Linked DNA regions of Canis lupus familiaris. The protein of the gene in region 1 binds, or shares a complex with, the protein of each later gene. Links are inferred from orthologs where the notes say so. Each region holds a gene or a part of one and is shown in the gene's direction. Other genes may lie near its edges.

The links.
Region 2: the proteins of TNKS2 (region 1) and SH3BP2 are in contact, whole or in part, in a crystal structure (PDB 3TWR), measured with the Homo sapiens proteins. The link is inferred for Canis lupus familiaris from reciprocal best matches to the Homo sapiens genes TNKS2 and SH3BP2. Residues at the interface, in NP_079511.1 of Homo sapiens: Arg525, Ser527, His531, Phe532, Gly535, Tyr536, Asn537, Arg538, Leu560, Asn565, Ser568, Tyr569, His571, Asp589, Trp591, Phe593, Glu598, Lys604; in NP_001116153.1 of Homo sapiens: Leu413, Gln414, Arg415, Ser416, Pro417, Pro418, Asp419, Gly420, Gln421, Ser422, Arg424.

Annotation. Positions count from the first base shown.
Region 1 is NC_049249.1:6,508,550-6,512,361, forward strand, and holds part of TNKS2 (poly [ADP-ribose] polymerase tankyrase-2), read left to right. Parts: intron 1-361; coding exon 362-471; intron 472-1,354; coding exon 1,355-1,543; intron 1,544-3,535; coding exon 3,536-3,788; intron 3,789-3,812. UniProt on the Homo sapiens protein: Poly-ADP-ribosyltransferase involved in various processes such as Wnt signaling pathway, telomere length and vesicle trafficking.
Region 2 is NC_049224.1:61,990,347-61,994,158, reverse strand, and holds part of SH3BP2 (SH3 domain-binding protein 2), read left to right. Parts: intron 1-193; coding exon 194-264; intron 265-1,084; coding exon 1,085-1,179; intron 1,180-1,342; coding exon of another isoform or gene 1,343-1,385; coding exon 1,386-1,454; intron 1,455-2,899; coding exon 2,900-3,554; intron 3,555-3,812. UniProt on the Homo sapiens protein: Binds differentially to the SH3 domains of certain proteins of signal transduction pathways. Binds to phosphatidylinositols; linking the hemopoietic tyrosine kinase fes to the cytoplasmic membrane in a phosphorylation dependent mechanism.

The DNA of each region.
Region 1 (3,812 bases):
ATGCCTTCTACTTGTGGCCCTTGAGACCATGTACCTGAGTTCAGGAAGTTGCATTTAACAATCATAAGGGCAAAGACTTCGGTAGAAGATTTTAAAAGGAAAGATACAGCAAATCAGTCTACAACTTTTGAGAGTTTCTGGAATAAATGAGTATCATCACTGAAACCTTCCACCTTGAGACCAGTAGGCAATTTTTTCCATAAAATAAAATCTTAATAGTCCAGTGGGGGATATCAGATTTCTATAAAATCTCTTTATTTTTTTAAAGAATGTCTGTGTTTCTTATACAGGTATATACAGATACATAGATGTAACTATTTTTATATTAAGTAGAAGTAATTTTACTTCTTTTCTAAATTAGCTGGTTATAATAATTTAGAAGTTGCAGAATATTTGTTACAACATGGAGCTGATGTGAATGCCCAAGACAAAGGAGGACTTATTCCTTTACATAATGCAGCATCTTATGGGGTAAGTTCTTTCCTATTACCTTTAAAATCTCTGAAATTTTCAAAGTGGAAATCAGTATTGCAATTCAAAGGGCATTTAGGGGGCAGCCCAGGTGGCTCAGCGGTTTAGCACTGCCTTCAGCCCAGGGCGTGATCCTGGAGACCTGGAATCGAGTCCCACGTCGGGCTCCCTGTATGGAGCCTGCTTGTCCCTCTGCCTGTGTCTCTGCCTCTCTTTCTCTGTGTCTCTCATGAATGAATAAATAAAATCTTAAAAGGGGGGGGGGCATTTAGCTTGACTTTTTCATTTTTTAGAGGAGTAAATATGAGGACTAAAGAGATTAAGTAATGTCCAGGTCTCAATTCTGATTTTGTTGTAAGCTAGCTGTGTGACATGCAGCACATTTGTCATTCGTTGTATTACCTTCTTTACCATCTCTTATCTTCAGTAAGATAGTTTTGTTTATTTGTTGATGCCAGGAAGGATACCCACTAGGACTCCTAGGAGTCTGTAGAGTTTCAGATGCGTTGTTCCTGAGTTTATAATGACCCTAAAATGTTATAATCAATATTGGCCAGCTTCAGTCGTATAATTGGAATAACTGAGAAAGGTTGCTGATTTATAAATCGATGTTTAGCAGTTATAAAACTTGAATAAATGAGAAGTTATTTAAGTTGTATTCATTTATTTGGTTCCCATCCGGTATAGAATTCTTAAATTCTCAAGTTACTAAAACATCTGTAATTTTTAATCAGCTACCCATAAATTATGTTTGGGAGCAACACAGTTTTTCATTTCCAGAACAGGTTTGAAAATATGGAAAAATAGGTATATAGTAAGTTTCTTCTTGGGAACTAAAATGTGGTAATATTTCAGACTGTAACAGGAATATTTTCTTTTACAGCATGTAGATGTAGCAGCTTTACTAATAAAGTATAATGCATGTGTCAATGCCACGGACAAGTGGGCTTTTACACCTTTGCATGAAGCAGCCCAAAAGGGACGAACACAGCTTTGTGCTTTATTGCTGGCCCATGGAGCTGACCCTACTCTTAAAAATCAGGAAGGACAAACGCCTTTAGATTTAGTTTCAGTAAGTGATGGACTCTTTGAAAAATCTCATTGCTTTCTGACTTTTTAAAGTTCACTTGGTAGATATAAAATGTCTTCATGGTAAATGTGGCAAAATCTATTTTAGCCCAGTCTAAATGTAGGACATCTTTGGCGTTAAAATATAATATGTAAATAATAAGATTATCAATCAGTTATTGTATCCGGGGTGCTTTTAGAAATAGGAAAAAGAAGTGTATGGTATTGCTGCTTATGTTATTAGTTGGGAAACAAAACAGGCGCAGGCCCTCAGTGAAAGCTATTATGGTGTGTACTATGCAGAGTCATAGAGGACATATGATGAACCTTCCCAGTCAGGGACATTGCTCTCAAAGTGCAGCCATAAAACCAGCTTATAGTAGGGATTCCCTTCCCTCCCAGACTGCCTCTTCCCAAAGTTCCTGTTCCTCACTTATCTCACCGAAAGTATTTGTGAAACAAGCTTGTTCCTCCAGTTTTCTATGAAGTTTGTTTGGTTTTGGTTTTTTCCTTCTCCCAAGGGAACTCATGTAGGCATCTCCATTGTAGCCTCTGCCTTGGCCACTGTGACATAGGTGTCTCTCTTGCCTTTACGACTGTGAAATTGACCAGGGCATTGGAGGAAAAGGGAGAAGAAATTCTTGTTCAGATGGGAAGGGAAGTGTCTTTTACATACTGCTTTCTCCTGAGAGAGATTCCACTGTTACAGATTACACTGAGAAGCTGATTTAGTTCAGCTGCATTGGGGGTTAAATAGATTTTTCTCAGCAGGCTGACAACCCAACAGTATTTGCAGTATTTCTTCAGGGAAAAGTCTTTCTAGTTCCAAAATACTTTGGAAGTATACTTTTCTAATTCATTCCACCCATTTGTTCATCCACCAGACATAATTGACATGAAACAAAGGGCTCTAGAGAACAGGTGTGGACTTTAGGGTCAAACAGACCTGCCTTAGAATTCCAGCTCTGCCACTTAGAGTTGCACACTCTTTCACCTTGCCTAGTCATCTACAAATGGGGGCAAAATATGTCTGGTTAAGGGCCACCTGGCTGACTGTCAGAAAAGCATGCTACTCTTGATCTTGGGCTTGTGAGTTAGGGCTCCACACTGGGTGTAGAGATTACTTAAAAATGAAATCTTTAAGATACATACATGTGTGTATGTATATGTCTAGTTAATATGAAATTTAAATGAGGTAATGTACTTGAAGTCCCAGGTATGATAGCAAATACATAAAAAGCACCCAACAGATCGTGCTATTATTTTAAAATGTTACCTACAAGCTGTGAGTGCTGTGGAAGTCCTCAGACTCTGGTAGGAAAAAGGTAAGGATTAGAAGAGACTGTATCCATGACTAGTCATGAAAACAAGTACTGATTTACTTCTTGCTATTAATTAGTTAGGGTCTTAATTGAGCATTGTGAAAAAAATAGTATATATCAGTAATTAAACAAATTAATATACTAGTAAATTTGGGGATTTTTTTTTCCATGCTAGCTGATTTTATTAAAATGATGATCTCACTCCCCCCATTCAATTTTAAGGAGCAAATATATCACTGAATATTTTCCAAGAAATATAAACAAGTCATTGTTTACTGAAGTTCCATGTAGATTGAATTACTTCTTCCAGAATAATTGCATTAGTGTTAAAATTTTCTTACCTTTTAAAATTGATATTACTATAGCTCATTTCAGTGTTTTTCAGAATATCATAGTATCAAAGTTAGGTTTTTTTATGCTTTGCTACATTTAACAGGGTTTTTTTTTTTTAATTTTCTGTGTCTTTGAACAGATTTTCTGAATTATTTTAGATTTGGTAACAGTTTGACTGGATATCACTTGTTTTACTTTTGAAATAATCATTTTTATATAATATGCAACTCTAGTGCAAATCTGCTGAGTTTTTGTCATATTTTTAAATGCGTTCTGTTGGGTATAGGAGAATTTTAAAACTTGGCTTATCACAGATTTAATTTCTCTCTGACCCACACCAGGCAGATGATGTTAGCGCTCTCTTGACAGCAGCCATGCCCCCTTCTGCTCTGCCTTCATGTTATAAACCTCAAGTGCTCAATGGCGTGAGAAGCCCAGGAGCTACCGGCGATGCTCTGTCTTCAGGTCCATCCAGCCCATCAAGTCTTTCTGCAGCCAGCAGTCTTGACAACTTATCTGGGAGTTTTTCTGAACTGTCTTCAGTAGTTAGTTCAAGTGGAACAGAGGGTGCCTCTAGTTTGGAGAAAAAGGAGGGTGAGACATTCTGCAAAAATAACT
Region 2 (3,812 bases), on another chromosome or scaffold:
GGTGCTGTGCCTCAGTGCTCCTCCTGAAGCCCAGGGCCTGGCAGCAACACCACGCACTCAGAAGCTGTCCTGGGTGGAGCTCTGAGTAGGCCGAGGGCCCATGAGGGTATCTCCCTGACCTTCGTGTGGACCAGCCTGGGCAGACCCTGCCCAAGGCAGCAGTACACCCACTACGACCCTGCCTGACCCACAGAGCTGGATGGCCTTGTTGCGGAAGGAGATTGGGCACTTCCATGAAAAGAAGGAGTTGTCCCTGGACACCAGGTGTGCCTGCGCATGGGAGGGGTGGGTGGGGTGTCACCAGGGCAACTGGGCTTCACATGCGTGTCTGCCTTCCCTTGAAGTGTTCCCAGAAGGTGCCAGCCAGGCTGTGTGCGTGTGTGTGTGTTTGTGCGTGTGTGTGTGCCCCCACACACACCCCTTGGTAGTTTCAGCTCAGGGGTCCCACATGACCCTGCCTGCCCACGTAGGAGGCCCAGCATTTGCAGCAGCTCAGAGCTTTCGCTTCCCAGTCCCCTGATGCTCACCTGGGCCCACCTGGGACAGAGAGGGGAGCGAGCGGGTCCTTGGGGCACTGGCTCAGTCCCTCTGGGCGTCGGTGACCTCACTGAGAGGAGGCCCAGCAGGCAGCAGAGGTCCTCTGGGCAGGAACAGAAGCCATCCTGTCCTTTTGGAGCTGAGACGGAGGCCTTGGCCACAGATGCCTGCCTGACCCCAAAGCTCCCTGGCCCTGTACCCTGAACAGCTCAGTTCAGTGTTGATGGCAGCCCCCAGGGCAGGGTAGGTGGGGTATTGGGGGAGCCCTGAGGGCTGGCACCATCTGGCAAGGCAGGGCAGTGGCAGGGAGGCACCAGGCCTCCAGTCCCTTGGTCTGTTTTTATCACTCATGAGGAGCTTGTTTGAGCATGAGTCTTACTTCGTGTCTAGCTCTGAATATGCCTGTGTGTCTCTGTGTGTCGTGTTTGTGCATGTGTCTGTGTCTGTGTGCATGTGTCACACAGCCAAGGGTGTGCATGTGTATCTGTATGTGTGAGTGCAGAGGAGCTACCCCTACCCAGTGCTCACTGCCCCACCCCTGCCCCAGCTTCAGTGACTCTAGCTCAGACACGGACAGCTTCTATGGTGCAGTCGAGCGACCTGTGGACATCAGCCTTTCTTCATACCCCACAGACAATGAAGGTAAGGCCTGTCTCTGCATACCCTGTCCCCCCACCTCTGCATACCCTCCCCTGCCAAGGAGGAGAGGCAGCCTAGGTCCTGGGTTCATACCCTGCCCTGTGCCCCCCCTGAGTCCTGGCTCCCAGTGTTCTGAGGGCCCCTGCCCCATCACTCTTGGGTGCAGCTGGGCCTGGGCTGCCTGGGGTCTGACCCTCTATCCGCCTCAGACTACGAGCATGAGGATGAAGACGACTCATACATGGAGCCTGACTCCCCGGAGCCTGTGGAGCCCGAGGGTAGGTGGGCAACTTGTGAGCCTGGTAGGCTCCTGGGGGTGGAACCCAGGTAGGGCCCCTCCCAGGCTGGGAGTGCCAGCCTGACTACTGCTCTGGGTGGCCTCAGTTTCCCTGTCGTGGCCCAGGTTTTAGGAGGGACAGAACAAAAGAGATGTATGCTTTGGCTGGCTCTGTTCACCTTGTCCTCCTGCCTTTGCAGCTGGCCCGGGTCGGAGGGGGGAGGTGATTTCCAAATGTGTGAGGTGGGGGTGCTGCATGTGTGATGCTGAGCTAGTGGTGGTCCTGGGGGCTGAGAGTGGGGAAGGAGGGACCCTAAGGAGTGGGTGGGGCCAGGGCAGGGCCTCCCGCCTGTGGCTGATGGCTCTCCAGAGCACCTGCAGGCCAGCCTGTCAGGTACTGACCCACTCCCACCCAGTGGCCAAGCAAGGGAGCAGCCATGTACCAGGCATCATGTACATGTGTCACAGCCAAGCACAGGGTCAGCTGGGGGAGGGCCGTGTCTCTGTCCTGCCATCCCACAATCCTTTCCACTGTCCTGGGCACTTGGGACAGTCCTTCTACCCCAGCCACCCTGTTCTTCTGTCATTCAACCCCACCTCCCCTGTCAAATGCAGCAGGTGCAGCCCCCTTCCCTCCTACTGGCCCCTTCCCTCTGGGGACACCACCAGGACCTGCGGGCCATGTGCCTCAACTTCCCCCCCAGCACAAGGCCCATGGCTCCATCTCGTGTCCATCTGTCCCACCCTGAACTGCGGTCATATGTGGCTAGAGATGAACACTTAGGGGCCTCTCTTGGCCTCCGGGGCCAGTGCTCCTGCACATGGCCCCCCCACCCCCCTCCCCACCCTTCTGAGTCCCCACTCCAAGCAGGCTTCCTTCCCTCCCCAAAACATCTCATTAGGGTTCCAGTGGTGTCCCCACTCTCACATGCAGCACTTTGCAGAGGTACCTTCTGCTCCAGGCCCCTCCCACCTCACTCAGTGCCATCAGCACGAGCCAGGCCACCCCAGGACTCAGGCCGTGTTCACTCCTCTCCCGGCAGCCTCAGGTCACTGGGACAGCCAGTGTCACGGACAGCCTGGGGACTCCAGCCAGCACCTCTCCTCTGAACCTCACACCTGTGCCCCAACAGCGCACTTGGCACCCTTTCAGTGTGTCCTGCGACATCAGCAGACACAACCACCTTCTACCTCCCGACCTGCTCCCATCCTTCCTCCTCAGCTCTGTCCCTGGGAATTATAGCTTCCCCCAGCGGAAGCGAAGTCCTAAGAGTCCCCTTGCCTCTTCTCTCTCATTTCTGCTTCCGGGAAGCTGATGGCTCAGGGAGCTTGTGTGGGCTGCTGGTAGGGGGTGGCTGAGGAAGGGAAGGTGGCGCAGGTCAGTGGTGGTGGCCCAGCCTCCAGCAGGTGACACCTGTGCACTGACTGGGTCTCTTTACTCCGCAGACACCCTGACCCACCCTCCGGCCTACCCCCCGCCTCCTGTGCCCACACCCAGGAAGCCAGCCTTCTCTGACATGCCCCGTGCTCACTCCTTTGCTTCCAAGGGCCCCAGCCCTCTGCTGCCACCCCCGCCCCCTAAGCGTGGCCTCCCTGATGCCAGCCTGACTTCTGAGGACTCCAAGAGGGACCTGCTGGGCCTGAGGCGGCCAGAGGCTGGCCTCAGGGTGTCTGTGGCCCCCCGGAGGATGAGTGACCCCCCAGTAGGCCACCTGCCACCTGTGCCCAGCCTCCGGAAACCCCCTTGTTTCCATGAGAGTGCCAGCCCTAGCTCAGAGCCCCGAGTGCCTGGCCACGGGACTGGCTCTGTCTCCAGCTCTGCCAGCATGGCCACCACCTCCTCCAGGAACTGTGACAAGCTGAAGTCCTTTCATCTGTCCCCCCGGGGGCCGCCGACACCCGAGCCTCCACCGGTGCCAGCCAATAAGCCCAGGTTCCTAAAGATGGCTGAAGAGGCCCCCTCAGAGGAGGTGGTCAAGCCCAGACTCTTCGTGCCTTCTGTGGCCCCTAGGCCTCCTGGACTGAAGCTACCCACACCTGAGGCCATAGCCAAGCCAGCAGTCCTGCCGAGGTCAGAGAAGCCACCCCTCCCCTATCTCCAGTGAGTTCATTTGGCGCTCATGCCCCTGGGACCCCTCCCCAACTGGCAGATCCTCGTGCTGGTGCCCTGGCTGCCTCGTCTCTGGCATTCCCTGTCCATGACGGGGACCAGACAGCCCTAGTACAAGAGCAGGGAGGCTTAGGCTGAGCAGCCTCCCCTGCACCTGACCCACCCTTGCCCTAGAGAAATGTCAGCCAAGTGGGTGGTGGGCCTGGAGCCCGATGCTGCCTAGGGGGGTGGACGAGAGCGTCTCTGGGG